Drosophila melanogaster: one gene and its partners. The protein of the gene in region 1 interacts with the protein of each later gene in a pairwise test. Each region holds a gene or a part of one and is shown in the gene's direction. Other genes may lie near its edges.

Region 1 (4,686 bases):
CTCCTTCAGCATGAAAACATTGGAAAGGCAGTTGACCAGCATGCAGGGCTTGGCTAGCTCATTGTATCCCCATTCGCAGCTGCGGATGGCTCCTCGCACGGAAGATATGTTCGTCAGCTGCCAGGCATCTTCGGGGGCACCGACTAGCCTGCTGCCGCTCCTCTTCCAAGTATAGACATTCCCCTGGGACGTTCCTGCACACAGAGTCTGTCCCGTAGAGCTATATGCCAAGCAGGTGAACATTTCGCCGTTCAGCTGGCCGTACTTTGGTGTCTTGCGGAGAACGCCGCTGCTTTCGCTGCTGTCATGGCTAAAGAATTGGTTGGACGAGGACATGGTGCCATTACTTAAAGTGGTCATAGATGAGCCTGGCTGGTTGCCACTGGGTAGGTCCATTTTCAATAGGTAATTGTCGCTTCTCTCGATGTCCCAAATGCGGACGAAAAAATCGCCTGAAAATTAGTCTTAAATTTAGCACAGAAGTGAAAAATCGAATAATATATCCTACCTGTTATGATGGCTAAAGAGTTTCCAGACCACGCGATGCCTCCCTGCCGACCGCCTCCACGTCCGCTCATTTTAACACGATCCAGCTCCGTAAGGATGCCTGTGGATTCAACCAAAAACAAGGTGACTGTCAAGTCCTCCATCAGGCAAATGACGGCGTCCCTAGAATGGAATAATGTTAGGGTTCAGGTAAAGAACCTTTCGATCTCAACAGCTCTTTACTTTCTTGGGTGCCACAACATCTGGACAATGGGAGGCAGTGATCCGCACTTCATCACCTCGACACAGGCGCCTCCTTGGTTGATGTAGTACACCACTCCTCCTTGGGTGCAAGCGTAGAAGCAGTGGTTGTCCCGCACCCCCGAATGGGTCATGCTCCGGGCTGCTGTGCGCGGTCTCCAATTGGTTAGGGTGTCCAGGGCGTTCTCATCGCCTGCCACAGCAGCCTTGGCTAGATTGGCCATCTCCTCGCGCACCTCACTCTCCACCGTAAGGCGGAAGCAGATCAGCAGCAACACCTCCCGCAGGTCGTGGGAGAACATGGTTAGGAACTGGTACTGGCCATCGCAGCGCCATCCGGTGACCAAGCCCATGGCATCCGCCGTGACCATCCGCCCGCCCTGCTCGCTGAACTGCAGCAGGACGATGGCCGCCTTGTGCGGTGCGTTCACGCTGGCAAACTCCCTGTGACCAGCGAACCACACATGGATGTCGCCGTGCTCCCAACCGCTGGCCAGGAGCGCCTTCTCCGGATGCCAGCATAGTGCCGTCGCTTGCGAAGTGGCGTGCACCGGATAAGTTACATCTCGCTGGGGCTCACCCTGCAATTTGATTATATAGATTATATACATTCCGATTTTTGGCAGGGTCTGCGACCAAAGCGATTAATACTGACGGTATCTGCAAAGATGGTCACTGAACCGCCTCTTTCGGGACTAAAAGAGGCCACTGCGAAGAGCGGCTCACTGGGATGCCAGCTGCTGATGGTGCTCACTGCATCCGAGTCCAAGAACTCGATTTTCGTGTCAAAGTAGAGAGTCATCACACCGGTTTTCCACCTTTAGTGGATGAATTTGTTTTGGCAGGAGCCAAAACACAGTAACAATGTGTTTGCCTAGCAACGGTTGTCATGGTTGCTCCTAAGCAATTGATTAATTGAGATACCAACTTGATCCAGGTTATTGGATATTGCAAAGAGCAAATAAGCACAATAGTTTTATTTCACCATTAATTCACTTTACCGACAAATAACTCTTTGGTTTATGAGTTCTCAAGTTATCATTCACCACTTGATCGCACGATTTGTCATGGGGTAAAACAAACAAACAAGCTAAACAAAACTTTTCCAGGGAATTTAATATGGTACTTCCCAACAATACAGTTCTATTTCTATTTTCAAAACTTAACGGGTTTTGTTAAATCTGCCTACCCACAGGGTGATTCCGACACCCAGCAGCGAAGATAATTTTAAATAAATACGAATGGGTAGATATAATTATAATAATTACTTCCATAGATCGACGACATTACTCATTCATTACATCATTTTGGAATCTATTGATAAGCATTATGCTCCTCCCCTGCACATGTGACAACCAGCTATTAACGGCTTAGCAATGACTTTGCAGCTTTGCCAAAATTCCAGATAAATATTAAATCCCTATTAATCAGATAGCATGTTAAAGAAAAACATGAGAATTCCTTCATGGCAGAAATCAAATGTTCACAGCTCTAAATAACCATGCGATTCTATTAATTAATTCTAGCGTCTTTGATTTCAAGTTGCATTCCACATACTTTAGCTAGTTTAAATCTAGCCAAATTGGCATCGCTGGAGCTTACCCACACAATCATCCGTCGCGTATTCGCCCCGTTAACTCGCAATACTCGTGCATTCGAATGAAATCACCGGCAAACAAAACAGTGAAACCAGAAGGTTCGCCACTACTGCGCCTCATTTGCAGTGCGAACTCTGAAAATGGCTGATCGTCCGTGTGCTGGAAACATTCTCCGCATCGCCGGGGCCGTGATTCTGCCCAATCTGGGCGGCATCTATAACGGGCGGCTGACCAGGCAGCATCTCCAGAGCTGGTACGCCAACCTTAAGTTCCCGTCCTTCAAGCCGCCCAACTCGGTCTTTGCGCCGATGTGGATCTCCTTGTACGCGGGAATGGGCTACGGCTCCTACCTGGTGTGGCGTGATGGCGGAGGCTTCGCCGGCGAGGCGGCCAAACTGCCCCTGATCGCGTACGGCACCCAGCTGGCCTTGAACTGGGCGTGGACGCCCATTTTCTTCGGGCAGCACAACATCAAGGGCGTGAGTACTGCTGATATCACCAAGCCCAGGTGTTATGTCTAATCCGCTTCATCCACCAGGGCCTTATTGACATAGTTGCACTCACGGCCGCCGCGTCCGCCTGCGGCGTTCTGTTCTACCGAGTGAACAAGACCGCTGGATTGCTCTTCGTACCCTACGTCGCCTGGCTGGGATTCGCGACGGCTCTGAACTACGCCATCTGGAAGCTGAACCCGGAGAAGGAGCAGGCGCCCAAGGACGAGGAGAAGCCCTCTAGCAGCCACGCTAAGTCGAGTTAAGCCCAGGATAAACGAAAAACAAGTAATTTTGGGTGTCTTTCATGCAAATTGCAGGGCTTTCCGACCTATCGAACCAGGGCTGGGCAAAGTTGGATAAAATATCGATAAGCAGTGCCTCCAATGGGGCGCTAAATTCAAAGTATCATATGCTGCTGCACGTTCAAAAATTCCCTATGTGTTATGTGTTAATAATAAATTAAAGAATCGTAATTTTCAATGCTATTCTCGAGAACGATTAATAGGCTACAATTTGTTGTGACATTGCAATGGAATAACCAAAGATATTGAGAAAGAATTTCTCGATTCACTTCAGTCTTTGTTAAATCATAATTTTATTCAAAAATGTAAAGGCCACAAATAATCAAAAAACGGTTAGTACCCGGGTTCATCAGAGATTAACGAAGGCGAAAATGGGCTCTGAAAATGCGAGTGAGTTTGAAATGCAAGGGCGCCGATTAGAAAATAGACTGAAGGAGGATCAGTTGGGACCCCCAGAGGCGGAAGCAGGATTGGTAGGAGTTCCGGCCTTCGGGGAGGTGGCTTTTGGGGATGCAGCCGATTTCGGGGAGGCTGTGGCCTTCGAGGCGTTCGCCGCCGACTTCTGCTGCCCCCCAGTTGGTCCAGTTTGCTTTGGAGGAGACGCTTTGTTAGCTGCTTTTCCCTGCTGTTGTTGTGGATTCGTCTGGTTGGGGGATGCTTTTGGAGAAGCAGCAGCGGGTTTTGGAGTGGCCTGGGCCGGCTTTGGAGCAACTGCTGGCTTGGCATTGGGGTTCGGCTGTTTCTGCACGCCCTTGTTCCCTCCTGGCCCAGCTGATCCTCCTGCTCCTCCTGGTGGCTGCTTTTGCGGTTGTTGGGGCTTGTTGGCTGGCTGCTGCTGTTTTGTCTTCGTTCCTGCCTCCTGCTTCTTGATTCCCGCTTGGGGAGCCGCCGACTGTTTCTGAGGCGGAGTAACTACAGCAGGCGACGGAGGAGTCACCGTGGCGGGAGATGGAGGAGTCACTGTCGCTGCAGAGGGCGGCACCGAGGTGGGAGTCGATGGCGGAGTGGAGGGAGCCAGAGGAGATGGCGCCTCAGCAGGAGTGGCAGGTGCTACCGGAACTGTTGCCGTCACTGGTTTTGTGGGTGGTGGTGATTCCTTCTTGGGTGCAGCCTTCGGTTCCTCAATGGCCTTTGGCGCATCCGCTGGTTTTTCAGAAGCGAGAGCAGCCTGACCCTGAGGTTGTGCAGGTGCCTGAGAAACGTTGGGGACTTCCGGTGCTAGCGTTTTGATAACTTCTGGAACTGGAACTGGTGCATCCTGTTTAGCTGGTGGTGCATCCTGCTTAGCTGGTGGTTCATCCTGCTTAGCTGGTGCTACTTCCTGTTTAACTGGTGGTGGAGTCTTTTGTTGTGGCGCTGAATCCTGTTTAGGGGCACCCTTTGGTGGTGAATCCTGTTTGGGAGCACCCTTTGGTGGGGAATCCTGTTTGGGAGCACCCTTTGGTGGGGAATCCTGTTTGGGAGCACTCTGTGGTGGTGATTCCTGTTTTGGAACATTCTTCGGTGGGGATCCCTGCTTGGGAGCGCTCTTAGGAGGTGAGTCCT
Region 2 (4,693 bases), on another chromosome or scaffold:
GGACAGAGGACTCCAGACAATTGACAATTTAAACGAATTTCTTTCAAACACAACACTGACATGGCCCGGCACAAATGACGAATAGTGGCGGATGCCCGAGCCAAAGCCAAAGTTTACGCATGAAATATGCACCACCAGGAGGCAGAGCCAGAACTTCCCTACCCTTCCTGGCCTCCGTGGCCGGTGGCTTGTGGCCAGTTGCAGTTTCAGTTGCCAGTGGCCAGTTGTAAGCTGCAGCTCCAGGGACGCACGTCTGAAGTGTCATTCATCTGGCCATAAACGCATTATTCAATATGCACTGAGAAGAATTTGAGTGATACACCATTTCAATCAAGGTTGTCCAAAAGTCGAGAGAATATTACGTAAAGAAGCACTTTTTATTCATAATTCGGCTTTAAAATAGTTGCATTCGAAAATAGACCCAAAAATGTTTTTCTATATAGATCGTTATTAAAAACTATAATAATAATAGAAGGCTATACTTGCTAAGATGTTGCTGATGACTTGAATCATCTGTGTTCAGCAGAGACAAACTTTGGTCTGGTGAGCACTACACTCTCCAGATTTCCCCCAGTGCATCAGCTAGACAAACGAGGGATCGTCGACGAACCACAACAACTGCGGCATCAGTGGTATCAGCAGCAAGAACAACTACAGCAACAACGACGACGTCTGACTAAATGCCTCATACTGTGCGCGATCTGCGGTCAGGCTCCTCGACTGTCTGTCCGCCGGCTGATCCGTCCGATCGGCTTTCAAGGTTAACAAGTTGAATTTGCAATTTGGCACTAGGACTGACTGGCCTACCAGATTTGATGCCCTGCCGGAGCAGAAGGATCGTTTGCCCGGCAGATAGGCCATGGGACGGTGCTCGACATCGCTTCTCAATCCCTCGACAGCATCAATCGCTTTGGTGAGAATTAAATGTTTATTCCTTTTGTTTGGCCAGCACCGCTCCCTCAGCTCAACCACTCCTCACCCGCCTACTACTCCGCTTTAATGAGCGACCTGCTCAATGCACAGAACCGAAATCAAAAAATCAAAGAGTCCCAGAGAAGTACAGCGAAAAGCACTCTCATCGAATAAAATGATACCCTCGGACGGACGACACGATGTCCCCACCTTGCTGGACCTGGCTGGGAACTTGGACTCCAATAATAATAGACCTCGAACGGGTGTCAATGCGGGTAAACAGACAATTTTAAGAGATATCTGAAATTTTTACATTTCCAACATTTTTAATGAAAAACGAAATGAAATCGTAGTTATTCAACTTTTCGCCGAATTTAAGGCTATTGCCATTAAAAAGCATTCAACAATGTATCATTACTGAACAGAATAAGTAATTGTTTACGACTACATTATATTATATATATTATTATATATTATTGCTGTTGACGTTAAGAAATTATAAAAAATATATATTTACAGTATTAAGATAGGATAATTTCAATTTCAACGGAATATATAAATAATAATATTATAGATATTTGCGTATTTTATTGGTTTAGTTGTTGCCTGAGCAACACTACTTTCAATCAACTACCAGTCCACGGCACGGGCTGGAGACCCAAAGAAGGTATGGCCCCAAAGAGCATTGGAGCAAGGAGTCCGCAATAATACGACGCTGATCTATTATTCGCTAGATTGTAAAAATGTAAAAATCACGCTTTCGTGTTGTGTATAAATTGAATGCAATTTATAAATGTCCAGAACAGAATTAAATCCCCAGCCGTCGGCACAAGCCACGATCGGGTGATGGTGATTTTTCAAAATAAACAACCTTGAGCCCAAGGGCTCCGCAGCCATATACCTCCATAGCCCATGGCCCCGTGGCTCCATGGCCCCATAGCTCCAGAGATCCAGAGCCGAGAACAATTGCCAAGGCCCAGGGCAACAATAGACGGCAGCAGGCAGAGCCAAAAGGATCCGCCAGATCGGATCCCTGGGAGCCACAGATGAAAAATTGCGCCAATTGAATTTGACCAGCGATTGTTGTCGATTGCTCCTCATCGCGAGCTGGCAGCGGGAGGGGTGTCGAGGATCGGGAATCGGGCAGCCTGGCGTGGGGCCGTGGTAATCCACTGGGCGGTCGCTTAGTTTTCAACGCATTTATCAATACCCAAGTGGATCGCCCTCCTCGTGCGGGTCCCTCCGGATTCCTTTCCAGGCGTTGACAATGCCAAGGGTGTTGTCGGGTACCTACGCCTAATGCATTTCGAACGGAATGGAAAAGAATGCCACCGTCTCTGATTGGAGAATCAATTTGCCACAGCTTAAGTCACCCTGACGAAGACATGTTTCCGCTTCCAAGGCGACTTTCTAAGTGACTGATTGTGAATACAATACAGGAATAACAATTCCCAATGTAAGACGTCCGGAAACGTATATAAACTATAGTGTTATTAAATTCTGAACTCAGTTGCAGGGGTGTATCTTTGTTCTGTGGAACACACACATTACACATTAGGCTGATCCAATACATCAGCAGACTTGTTTGAATCAATCAGTCATAGAGGAAAACTGCATCAGCAAGGTTGAGCTATGAATATCTTTATCTCCTTAATATTGGTAGTGCTGGCCATTTTATCTTTTGCTGACCACACCGTGGTAAGGGTAAATCCGTATATGGAGTATTATGGATCGTACATTTATTTTAAGGCAGACGGAGATCGGCACCTAAATGAGGACTTAAATCGAGCGACGGTAAAGAAGACTAAGTGTATGGATTACATGGATACGAGTAGTATTGGAACATCTATGTTAATAATTATTTCCCCCCAGATGGTTGGCAATGTGCCGGGGTGACGTGCCCCATAAAGTTTACGGCATCTTGTAAGGTAACAAAGGTCCTAAAGCCCTCTGATCTACAGCACACTGAGCTCCTGATTTTGTGCATGGATAAAAACGATAAGCCTATGTGTGGGATAACACGAACTCGAAAAGGGGTAATACAGGAAGTTCTGGACGTGGATGAAAACGGAAATACGATATATGACAAAAAGGAAGTTATTTCGGAGAACGATGGTACTAAAATCCCTAGGTGCCCACGAAAGTAAATGATGTGCACTGATCGACTTCACACAAATATGTTTTATCTACACAAGGTTTTTAACTTTAAATGTTATGGACTATAAAAATAATTACACATTTTTGTGGCAACCAACAATGGTTTATATATCTTGTAGAAAAAATATTGGTATAGTTTGGCAATTAGTATGTATATAGAATTGGTGAAACTAACAGAATGCGTTACACATAAATAAAGATAACGAACACAAAAGACAACAAAATAAATATTTATATAAATTGAACTAAGTTGGATCTGATTGAAAATTAGGCCTATGAGACTAGGCACAAAAACTCAATTCACTAATTGCCCCTTTTAGGAAAACAAAATTTGAGACTAAACAAATAGGTACTAAATAGGAAATTTATAAGTATTTGACTGAAAACTAAATTATGCTCGTCTAAGAGTGCTCGGCCACCGCTCGAAGTTCATCCATGAGGGAGGGCATGGGCTCCACTCTCCTCCGTTCCCGACCAGCAATAATAATCCTGCTTAGCTCCTTCATATCAGACTGGCAGGCGGAAATACCCTCGCCTAATTGGCACAAATTCGGTTGGCATCGCTGACTCCGCTCAATCAGATCGAATATGAAGCTGTTGCGAGGGCGACATGTTTCATTGGCGGTTTGCTGAACGAGCTGTAAATCAATTAAGGAAATGTCAAGAGAAGCCAATCGGAGGGGAACATACTTACCTTCTTGTAGTCATCAATAAGATTAGCCACTTCATGGGCGGGTTCCTGGGGCGTGTTGCTAGCCGTCGATTTGCCCGAGTCCGAGGCCTCAAACCGCGCTCGCTCCATTACCAAAGTGTGCTCCAGACACTGTAAAAAGCAATTAATTGTGTTACAAAGAGTTACTTTAAGGGAGTAAGACATAACATACCTTAATTTTTGACAAAGCTTGCTGATGCCTTCCGCTGATCTCCGCCAGCTTCATTTTAAGCCCAGGAAGCTCTTCAGCCTTTCGATTGTTAACCCTCCCATTTCGCAGTTCCTTTCGAAGAATTTTGGCCAACTGAGGCCAGCTTTTTATATGTGGTAGCCTCCTTCCTGTTTCCATCTCAAGAACGTGACCAAGAGATCGCAAACACTCTACTGCTTTGCGTTCTTCTCGCGCAATTTCCTCCTTCTCATCTAGCAAAGACTTTACCTGGCCTTGCAGCCTTTGCATGTTAATCGACGCAGCGGAGTTTATCTTCAGATTCTCTTGGAATGTTTTCTTCAAAAGCTGTAACTCTAGTCGATTTTCCTCGTCCTGCGCTTGGCTCAATTTCTGGAGCTTTTGCAGTTCATCATTTTGTCCAGCGAACAATTCATTCAGGTGCTCCAATTCAACCGTCTTATGCTGTAGTTCTGATCGCATTTCCTGCTCCAAGCTTTGAGTAGCTTGCAGAGCATCTAACAGTTGTTGCCAGTCTGCTTCCATTTCGTTAGTGCTCTTGATTTTAGCTTCTTGCTGTTGAAGCAGTATTTGGAGCAGCGAAACTGTGTGCAATTTTTGGCTCCTGACATCCGCTAGTTGTTGTTCCAAAGTCTCAATGCGTTGAACTAAAATCGGATCTTCGAGGTCCGTTTGGGTCGCTTGGTTGTGTTTCAACTGCACTTGCCAGCCCTCTGTCTTTT
Region 3 (4,396 bases), on another chromosome or scaffold:
AAATGGACCAACTGGGTCTCCACTCCAATAGGAATTCTACTTATATCGTTGCCAGTTTGACAGCCACTGTACGACTGCTGTCTTTTGCTGTTGTTGCACTTTTCCTGCAGAGATCGGCGTCTGTTTACAAACAGAAACACTCGGGGTGGTAAGTTTAGAGCCTTTAGTTGTTCATTTTAATTACTTTGGTTCCAAATAGAGTTAACGTTCAACAAATCGCTGTAACGCATAACATATAAAAACAACTACACTTTAATAATTAAACTCTTTGTTGCAATGCCTTCGTAAAGAGGTTAAATGCCATGTTAAATGTTATGTTATTATAACACCACTTTGTTAAGATTCCATTGAACTAATTTAATCATTACAAGACAACATTTAATGTGTTATTATCGAGCTGGCCGCAAATGTATGCAAATGGGCTGCTGCATTGGGGGCGTTGGCTTTTCCCCCCGCCTCTGCGATGCACACACCCCCCACACCACCACCCCACTCCATACGACGCCATGCCTTGGCCTTGTTGATAGTCGTTGGCCTCTTGGCTGACCCGTTGAGTGTAATTGAATTTAAGCGGCAATTGTCTTGCGAATGCATTTATTGCCATTGCACTTTGCAAATCACGGTGCGCAGCCAGTGGCTCTCAAACTTTCACGCTTAACGGTGCTGCAGCATGCCTAATGAGCGAGCGAGCAGGCAACCAGCCAGAGCGAGACAGCCTCTAAACGAGCGGAATGCGGTTTAAAAATAAACCAAGCCCAGAGCGAGACGGCCAAAACGGGTGAGGAGCGGCAAGAGGGCGGGGCCAAAACGTGCTTGGGCTTAGACCCTATTTAGCCTAGTTTACGAATGGCCAGCACAGCCCAGAAAAAAAGAGAGCCTGGTTTAGAGACACCTGTGCCCAACGAGAGCGGGCGGAGGGAAAAGGGGGAGGGAATCCCCATGCACCGTACCCTCGTTATGCTAATTCACAGCAGAACAACAGGCAAGCCTCCACAACTGAGACGCTCTAGGAAGTCTCATTTGTAGTAAGGATTTGCAATTAATTAAGATTTGAAAATAAGACTTTATAAGCTTTAGAATCTTGAAGAAGCTTTGAGAACCACTTGATCTTACAACAAGAAATAGTTATAGATTGGAACTCACACGTTCGTAGTTACACTTTATGAATACTTAATATCTTGTTAAGCTATTTTCAGCTAAGTGAGGTCCTCCAAGCCAGACTAGACTGTATGTCTGTATATGACAGCCTGGCAGTTTTTACGACCCGTTCGCACGCAACTTGACCACAGTGGAAGTGGATAGGTGGTATTAAATGGAAGATCGGCCCGGGATCGGGAGTGCCCTTTACCGTTTACATTTTGGGAGCCGCAGCGATGTTATGCAACACCTTGCGCCGGGTTTATTGGCTTATAAAGTGGAGCATCGGACCGTAAAACATCCCATATTTTTTTTAACGATCTTCTCTCTTTCATTCCGGTTTTTGTACTTCGCTTACCTTTGACAGCCTCGTAGTATCCCAAATCCAGCGTGAATGATTTACGTTAGTATCCTGGCGCACAAGAAATTATATTTATTCTCCAGATTTCTGGATATCTGGATGCCTCCTGCTTCGCAGCTACTTCTTTCCGTTCTCGTTCTTAGCTGCTGCAATTAACATAAATTCCCGTATTTATTTGTTTTTTCGCCGACTGTTTTCACTACGATCTTTCTCTTCCTTTCGCCACTCTTCCCACTTTTCTTATTCACGCACACAAACAGGCACACACACGCACAGAGTGAAAATCGAAAGATGCAGACGAAGATGGTTATAAAAAACAAGAGAACGCGAACAGGAGGAGGAGAAGGAATGGAGGAGGATGGGGAGCAGAAGTGGGAGAAAAACCGGAAAGTTGTTTTTGTTGTTCGACCATAAGCGGCGTTCTTTGGTTTTGGTTACAAAAACAAGCCGAAAAAGTGTTAAAACCGAAGAAATCTTAACGTTTTTCAGCGCTTTTTGGGGATTCTGTTTTAATTTATGCCAAAGAATTTTTGTCACTTGTTGCTGCTCTTCGACCTTAATAACAAATTCCAATGCACACCAGTTGCTTTCACACGCAAAAACCAGATTAGTGGGTTTTTTCTATTGTTCTTTTTTTGTTTTCATTTCTGTTTTGGGGCAGTAATTAGAAATAGCCGCGTTTTAAACACCGGCGCAAAAGCAACAACAATGGTATTTTCTAATTAGCACAAAAACTACAACGAGCATAACAACAACAATGTGCAATGTGAGCGGCTTAAGAGAGCGAGAGCGCAAATAAAAGAGAGAATTGAAACGCTGATTACGTTTTACTTATTGGCCCGCTTGTTGTTTCTTTACTTTTTATTTCTTTTGCACGGCTTTATTTATTTTTCAGTTAGCGGTTTTGGGATCCAATTTTCAGTCCGCGCGCACGTCTTGTCAAATCGCCGATCAGAGAAAAACTGGCTATTCAAAATAGCCGATCCGGTTCTCAGTGGAATTTGAAAATTAAGTCATGGTATTTGAGGTTCGCGAAACATGGTCACACTTCTAGGTGCAGTTATCGATGCTTATATCGAATTTTGCGCTCTCCGTTGGAATTTAAACTTTATAGAATTGCATTCGAAAATATATGTGCTTTAGGCAATAAGCACAAAGTAGCAAATATCACTATCCTGTTGTTTTGGTTGTGATAATTAAGTGCATTACGCCATTTATTGTTTGCTTTTCCTTGAACCATTCATGGGACCTAGATTGAGAGACGTTCTTACAATTATATTGTGTGTATTGTATATTTATCCAGACAAAAGGTAGTATCAATAAATAAAATCGAACGACGCTGGCAGCGACATCGACTAGTCCAGCCCTATATAAGCTCGTCGAAAGCACTTGAAAACAAATTCGATCCGAATCTGAATTGATTAGTACATCAAAGAAAACAATCACCACGAAAACTACTGAAAATGATGCAAATCAAGTTCCTGTTCACCTTCCTCGCTCTGCTGATGATGGTCATCCTGGGCGCCAAGGAAGCCGATGCCGACTGCCTTTCCGGAAGGTACAGAGGTCCCTGTGCCGTCTGGGACAACGAGACATGCAGGCGGGTTTGCCGAGAGGAGGGACGAGGACGAGTGAGTGGTCACTGCAGTGCCAGGCTGCAATGCTGGTGCGAAGGATGCTGAATTTCTACCGAAATTGGACAACTTCTATAGACCCAGAATGATTATGTATCAATCATAAAATTCAATTCCCTAAACATTCACAATTATTTAAAATAAAATCAAGTCAAGAACCAATATTTATTGTTCAGATCAATGCATTGTTATATTCGGCACGTGGTGAAATTGTAAAGGCAGCCGAAAAGTCTGGGTAAATATTTTTATCTCCACGAGATAAATTTCACCACAGCGTCGTCGTACTGAGTGTAAAACTTACAGATCGGAACGTATTTAAGCGCTTATTCTGAGCTGAGAGCGATCAATTTCTTGAGGATTGCATTTCAACAATTACTAAGTTACCAGACCTCCTACCGAAACTATGGAAATCAAGTTCCTAATTGTCCTGTCCGCTGTCTTGATGATAATTTTCCTGGGAGCGGAAGAATCACATGCCGACTGCCTTTCCGGAAGATATAGGGGTTCCTGTGCTGTGTGGCACAGGAAGAAGTGCGTAGATATCTGCCAGAGGGAAGGGCGAACCAGTGGACACTGCAGCCCCAGTCTAAAATGCTGGTGCGAAGGATGCTAAAAAAAGATGTACATGTAAGAAGAGTCTATTCATGTGCATGGAGTAATAAATAGACAACCCTTTCTTATCTATGGATAAAAATTTTTATATATTTTACTGATCATACGGAACTCGATTGATAATGGAAAAACCCCAAGTTGGGGTTGTTTTGGGTCATTCATATCCAAAACGATGTATTTTAGCATTACTACTGCCCCGCTTTTTTTGCATCTATTTATGTAACACACTTAACTTCCTTTCATTGAAATATACTCATTGTGAAGGGTTGTTTACAGATTTTTCGCAAATAAATGATAAACAATGCTCAGAGTTTGATCAGCAGTTGCCTAAATGAAACGTGCAATTTTAAAGTAAACTTCGTGATCTATTTTTGATATGATACTTACAGCAGCTGATCTTCATAATGGGGAAAAGAGGAATTTGGTTAGGGAATTAAAATAAATCAATGACAATTGATTTTACAATTACAATTTCGGTGAGAAAACTGGCAATTACTGTAAAAGTTAATTTGAAAATTCGCGCCAACCTCTTAGCGTTGCCAGATGTTCCACGCTTTCATAGCGATTCCTCACTAAGAAAAGTCGAAGTGTCAAAGGCCCGATATTTTTGGACATCTAAATGATTGCTATTGTTTTGTTTATAAATTACACC
Region 4 (5,898 bases), on another chromosome or scaffold:
GAAGCCATCCTTTCCGATTTTCGACACGGCTCCCGACGATCCCGACGAGGCGCCCACCTGTTTCTCCAGCTGGCGCAGCTGCTGCTCCATCGGTCCAACCAGGGCCAAGTAGGGATTCCTCTGGCGCTGGCAGTAGTAGGGCTCATAGAAGGGCACCATCGACATTCGGCCCAAATCGTCGGCAAGGCTCAACAACAATGGAATATTTGCCATTTTTGTTTTTTAATTGCTTCAAGATGATTCTCCTTCAAAGAATAAACTTCTTTTGTTGATAGGTTACTTTCGCTTTAGCTGTTATCGCTTTGGCTTTTTGAATTCAACTGACGCCGGTTGCACGAAAGTGCCGGTTATTTATACAACCGCTCGCTATCGTAGTGTGCGTGCGCCCGTCGGCGCTGTGTGTGTGCGCGTCGTGTCTGTGTGCTAGGGGGCACAAACATCGACATCGAGAAGGGACACGAAACTTCTCGGGCTGAAAATATCGCAGAGTTCTCGAATTTGCCGCAATTACGCATTATCTGCCATTGAAAGTGAGAGTATCGCTATGGAAAATGAGCAATCTCCTAGGGGAGTGGGAATGAAAAGGCCTGGTGGAGTGATAAGTCGCATCAGCACCGGCAAATATTATGTGTATGTATAGATGTACGTATGTAAGCACGTATGTATGTACATACATAGCAGATAGGAAGGTTGGAGTATATTCCACGAAGGATGGAGTAAATTCGCGAAACTTCGAGACTGCAGAACAGTTCTTCTTTTTATGGCCTGGCATTTAAGCTATTAACTTTAATTAATATCCAAGAATGGGGCTCTGTAGTGGGGAAATCTAATTAAAATACATAAGTGGTTAATGCCGGGTAGGTAATAACCCATGGGATGTAAGCGTATTATTACTCCAATCAGTAAGAAAATGTAAAAATGATACGATTTGGAACATATGTACATTCATACAATAAAGGATTCGAAGGATGTAAAAATTATTTGAATAAAATGTAATGCAACTATTTTGAATTTCAAAGGTCGATAGATGAAAACATAAACCAAAAAACATTAAAAACATTTAATAAATTCTAATAGTCAATATTTGGTTTATTGAAAACGAGGCTGTAACCTTTTATTATATTTGACCAATTTCTTAAGACAAATACATATGTATGTATGTAAGATTTAGCTGCACATTTGCTTGGTACAACTTGATAAATATTCAGCTTATATACACATTGTTTAGAATTCAGAATTACTTCGTAATAACCAAATCAAATGACAATTTGTTTACAATTTGTTGTTACAGTAGCGATTGAATAACCATATAATACATGGGCATTGCTATAGAACTCAATCTCTGGTTGTTATATAATTCGAGTTTTTATTTATGGCCCCATTTTCTTGTCACCACTCCTCCTCCACTGAAGTAGAGTACTCTTGGTGCCCAGGGCTTGGACAATCCAACGCCAACGCAGTGGAAGTTGTCTATTCAAAAAGGTGGCCACATAATGTGCGAGCATGCTCGTCCGGCGGATTTCTTCCCCTTGGTTAGGTAAATGGGAGCAAGTACCCAGTGTGTATGTACATGGGGAATGTATCGTATGTACAAGGGGGCATCTCGTACGCAGCAATCTCTGAAGGTTTTTGCTCTTTTCCGACTGCAGCTGGCAGATACACCATATCAATACAAACATACTATATAATATAATATATGGCCATACAGAATTGTATCCCGCAGCTGAGTTCGGGGCCCCAGTAAATTTTTAGCAAAGTCTCCACTGTCTGGCCCCCGTCTGGATGTTGTTGGTGTTGTTGTTGTTTTTTGCATTTTGGAGCTTTTCAACCGGTTGCCATCGCTTGCACTTGGCTATGTAACCACATACGAATCCAGCAATATCATCATCATCTGTGTGGCAGGGTATGTATGTATGTATGTAGATACAAATGTATATGGAGATACCATATGTATGGGTTGCCCCAGACGCTGTCACTGCGCATGTTTACGCGACGCCGGCTTGCCAATCCTCCAGCTCTGGCAACAGCGGATTTGTAGCTTCCAGGCGGCCCTGCCAGCCAGCCAGCCAGCCAGCTGTTGTTGTAGTTGTTTATCGCCGGCGACTCGAATCCGCATCGGCAACCGGCACGAGACTCAGACTCTCAGCTGTTCGCTCAATGCCGGCAGTGGGAATTCAGCTGCAACACGACCACTTTACATATACCCCGTCTATATGGATATTTGTATATATGAGTACATATATGTATATCGCCGGTACAAGGAAGATGGCATCTCTTGGGGGGGATATTCGTGCATATATGCTTCGATTTCAAGCCGGTTTGCCTCTTTTACGTATCTTTTTTATTTGGTTTTGCAACGTTGCAGTTTGGTTTGTCTGGTTTCTTGCCGACTACGAGTACGAGTACTTTCTTTGTTCTCTGGCTATCTGCGGTAGAGGAAAAGTATCTCTTATTTCGGTGTATATAGCAGAAAATGGCATAGTACATGGCTTGACTGACTGTTTTAATGGGTAGCCCTTCCCCTTGGTGAGTTCTCTGGAGGAGTTGCATAGTTTTTCGCCTGGGAGCTGGCATGGAAGCCGACTGGAAGTGACCAGGTTTTCCATTCAGCGCTGCACAGCCGCTTAAAAGCGTCGACATTCAGCCATAAGGGCTCAAACGCAGTCCAGTTGGAGGCCAGAACGGATCGCCGCCGGTTCCCAGACGACACCAATCCCCGCAAGACCTAAAAAATAAAAGATATATCTTAGCCAGATAGGAAGAAAGTGAAAATGTCGCTGATACCGTTCATACTAGATTTGGCCGAGGAGCTGCACGATTTCAATCGCAGCCTGGCAATGGATATAGATGATTCGGCCGGATTCGGGTTGTATCCACTGGAGGCCACCTCACAGTTGCCACAGCTGAGTCGTGGGTTGGGGCGTGGGAATGCAATGATGTGGGTGCCCATCAAGGGTCAGTCGGCGGCATCGCAGCATCGCCATCATCCGTACAATCGTGTGGCCGGAGCCAAGACTGCTTGCTGCAATAAGTCGCTGGTGGAGCTGGAAAAGGAATTGGGCGATAAGGGCACGTCCGGGGCAAGCGGCAGCACCAGTGGCCAACCGGCGGCCAGCAAATCCGCCTACTCCGTGGTGAATAGGAACGGCTTCCAGGTGAGCATGAATGTGAAGCAGTTCGCCGCCAACGAACTGACCGTCAAGACCATCGATAACTGCATCGTGGTCGAGGGTCAGCACGACGAGAAGGAGGATGGCCACGGGGTGATCTCGCGCCACTTCATCCGCAAGTACATCCTGCCCAAGGGCTATGATCCCAACGAGGTGCACTCGACCCTCTCCTCGGACGGCATTCTGACGGTGAAGGCGCCGCCACCACTTCCAGTCGTCAAAGGCAGCCTGGAACGACAGGAGCGCATCGTAGACATCCAGCAGATATCGCAGCAGCAGAAGGATAAGGATGCGCAGCCGCCAAAGCCGTCAGAGGTAGAGCAGCAGGCGGCAGCTAGTGCCACCACTTCCACTTTAAATCCGACTGCACCCACACCCACTCCTTCGCTCTCGCTCACTCTCGCCGAGAGCAACGGCAACGGTCAGGAAGAGACAGAGATGGAAATGCCGGCTGTTTCGCCCCCCATTTCCAATGAGGCTGCTGCTGCCGCTGCTGTTGCAGTGGAAGCCCCTTCCACCGCAGGAACCACTTCCAGTGCCAACAATGGCGTTGCAGAACCAGAATCAGAGTCCATGGAAGTGGCGTTGGCCAAAAACGAAGAGACTGCCAATGTGGATGAACCCACACCCAATCCCGTTATAAGCATCGAAGAGGAGCAAAAGGCAGAGGATGCAAATGCCAACGAAGTGCCCGTTGCCTCGAATAACGGCAATGGAGCAGTCGCAGCAGCCGAGGATGTGGAAATGCCGCTGGCCAAGAAACCGGAAATCTCCACGGAAGACAGCAAAGAGGAGCAGGCGGAGAAGGTTGATAAAGTAGAGAAAGTGGAGGAGAAGGGCGGCGAGGAACTGGCAGCCGTAGATGCGGCCATTCTACTGGCCAAAAACCAAGGCGAAAATGGAGCCACTGCAGCCAAAACCGAGGAACTGGCCAAGTGAAGACTGAACTAAAAGAAAGAACATAAATAGTAATTAAGAACAAATAATAATCTGCACGGGTAGGCGTGCGTTTTATTCCATACGTGTTTCTTGTGTTTTCTTTTCTTGCATTTCACACAAAAAAAAAGAAGCGAGAAAGCTGACGGGAAAAGCACTCAATTACTAATAGTGGGAGATTGCTGGCGTTATATGTATGTATGATTTTCTAAAAAACATATGTGACAACAACTACAAGTATTCCAGTAAAACTTAAAGACAGAAACACGAAATAATGTACTTAATAAAGAGGAAAACCAGAATAAAAAAAACTGACGTTTTGTTTTGTTTGCCGTTAGCCGGCTGTTTCTTTTGCGCTCTTTCTAGAAAATTGCAACAACTCTCTAGAAACTTCGGCTCTCTCACTCATACAGGCGCACTAGCTCTGCTTTTGCGCGTACGACAACAACTACATTTAAAATTTCTCGAAACTCATGGCATTTATTGGGAAAGGTTAGTTAGTTTTATTTTTTGTTTTTAGAGCAGCATTCAATTTAGACTTTTATAAAAGAAATTTCTAATTTGATCCCTCGTTTATCAAACGATACAAAGCTATATTCATAATTTTTTCTCTCTGTGCACGTTCTCTCTCTTCTCTTCTCTCTCTCTACTCTTTCCTTTTTCTGTCACTTTCCGGACTCTTCTAGAAAAGCTCCAGCGGGTATAAAAGCAGCGTCGCTTGACGAACAGAGCACAGATCGAATTCAAAAATCGAGCAGTGAACAACTCAAAGCAACTTTGCGCAAAAGCAAAACTTCAAACGAGAAAAAAAAGGATTAAAAACCTTTGCTTACAAGTCAAACAAGTTCATTCAACTTAACCAAAGAAAAAATATTTCAATCTCGCAAAAGGAACATAACCTAAAGGAAACGTAAAAATGTCGCTATCTACTCTGCTTTCGCTTGTGGATGAACTCCAGGAGCCCCGCAGCCCCATCTACGAGCTTGGACTGGGATTGCATCCGCATTCCCGCTACGTGCTGCCCCTTGGCACTCAGCAGCGCCGTTCCATCAACGGATGCCCTTGCGCATCGCCGATATGCCCATCGTCGCCCGCCGGCCAGGTTTTGGCTTTGCGGCGCGAGATGGCCAACCGCAACGACATTCACTGGCCGGCAACCGCCCATGTGGGCAAGGATGGATTCCAGGTGTGCATGGACGTCGCCCAGTTCAAGCCCAGTGAGCTCAACGTGAAGGTGGTGGACGACTCCATCTTGGTCGAGGGCAAGCATGAGGAACGCCAGGACGACCATGGTCACATCATGCGCCACTTTGTGCGCCGCTACAAGGTTCCCGATGGCTACAAGGCGGAGCAAGTGGTCTCGCAGCTGTCGTCGGATGGCGTGCTCACCGTCAGTATTCCCAAGCCGCAGGCCGTCGAGGACAAGTCCAAGGAGCGCATCATTCAAATTCAGCAAGTGGGACCCGCTCACCTCAACGTTAAGGCAAATGAAAGCGAGGTGAAGGGCAAGGAGAACGGAGCACCCAACGGCAAGGACAAGTAAAGGAGCCATCATCATCCAACATCATCCATCATCATTCCCCTACTTAATTGTTCCTAATTTATTGCATTGTATTTGTAATGAGCTAAAGACTAGAATACTCATATTAATTTAATAAATCCTTTTGTTCACCTGGTGTGGAAAATTAAAATTGTTGTGACTTTTGTATATGAAAGTTGGTTTTTGAAAGAGGCAAATATTTGGAAATATCGATTTGAAGATTTGAATTGGGCGCGACGAGGTGAAGACCCA

What was found.
Region 2: the proteins of Tspo (region 1) and Sfp78E interact in a two-hybrid assay, tested with the Drosophila melanogaster proteins (one large-scale study listed by BioGRID).
Region 3: the proteins of Tspo (region 1) and Drsl6 interact in a two-hybrid assay, tested with the Drosophila melanogaster proteins (one large-scale study listed by BioGRID).
Region 4: the proteins of Tspo (region 1) and Hsp67Ba interact in a two-hybrid assay, tested with the Drosophila melanogaster proteins (one large-scale study listed by BioGRID).

Annotation. Positions count from the first base shown.
Region 1 is NT_033779.5:557,214-561,899, forward strand, and holds Tspo (translocator protein), read left to right. Parts: upstream 1-2,398; 5' UTR 2,399-2,485; coding exon 2,486-2,824; exon of another isoform or gene 2,825-2,883; coding exon 2,884-3,102; 3' UTR 3,103-3,310; downstream 3,311-4,686. Other genes in the region: rempA (reduced mechanoreceptor potential A), read right to left, coding at 1-452, 509-669, 730-1,328, 1,403-1,549; uncNacbeta (putative nascent polypeptide-associated complex beta subunit), read right to left, coding at 3,581-4,686.
Region 2 is NT_037436.4:21,681,694-21,686,386, reverse strand, and holds Sfp78E (seminal fluid protein 78E), read left to right. Parts: upstream 1-2,422; 5' UTR 2,423-2,544; coding exon 2,545-2,722; intron 2,723-2,784; coding exon 2,785-3,059; 3' UTR 3,060-3,289; downstream 3,290-4,693. Other genes in the region: CG11248 (uncharacterized protein), read right to left, coding at 3,471-3,707, 3,764-3,892, 3,954-4,693.
Region 3 is NT_037436.4:3,334,928-3,339,323, reverse strand, and holds Drsl6 (Drosomycin-like 6), read left to right. Parts: upstream 1-2,905; 5' UTR 2,906-2,961; coding exon 2,962-3,180; 3' UTR 3,181-3,292; downstream 3,293-4,396. Other genes in the region: Drsl1 (Drosomycin-like 1), read left to right, coding at 3,536-3,745.
Region 4 is NT_037436.4:9,376,313-9,382,210, reverse strand, and holds Hsp67Ba (heat shock gene 67Ba), read left to right. Parts: upstream 1-2,676; 5' UTR 2,677-2,771; coding exon 2,772-4,109; 3' UTR 4,110-4,409; downstream 4,410-5,898. Other genes in the region: Hsp23 (heat shock protein 23), read right to left, coding at 1-213; Hsp26 (heat shock protein 26), read left to right, coding at 5,023-5,649.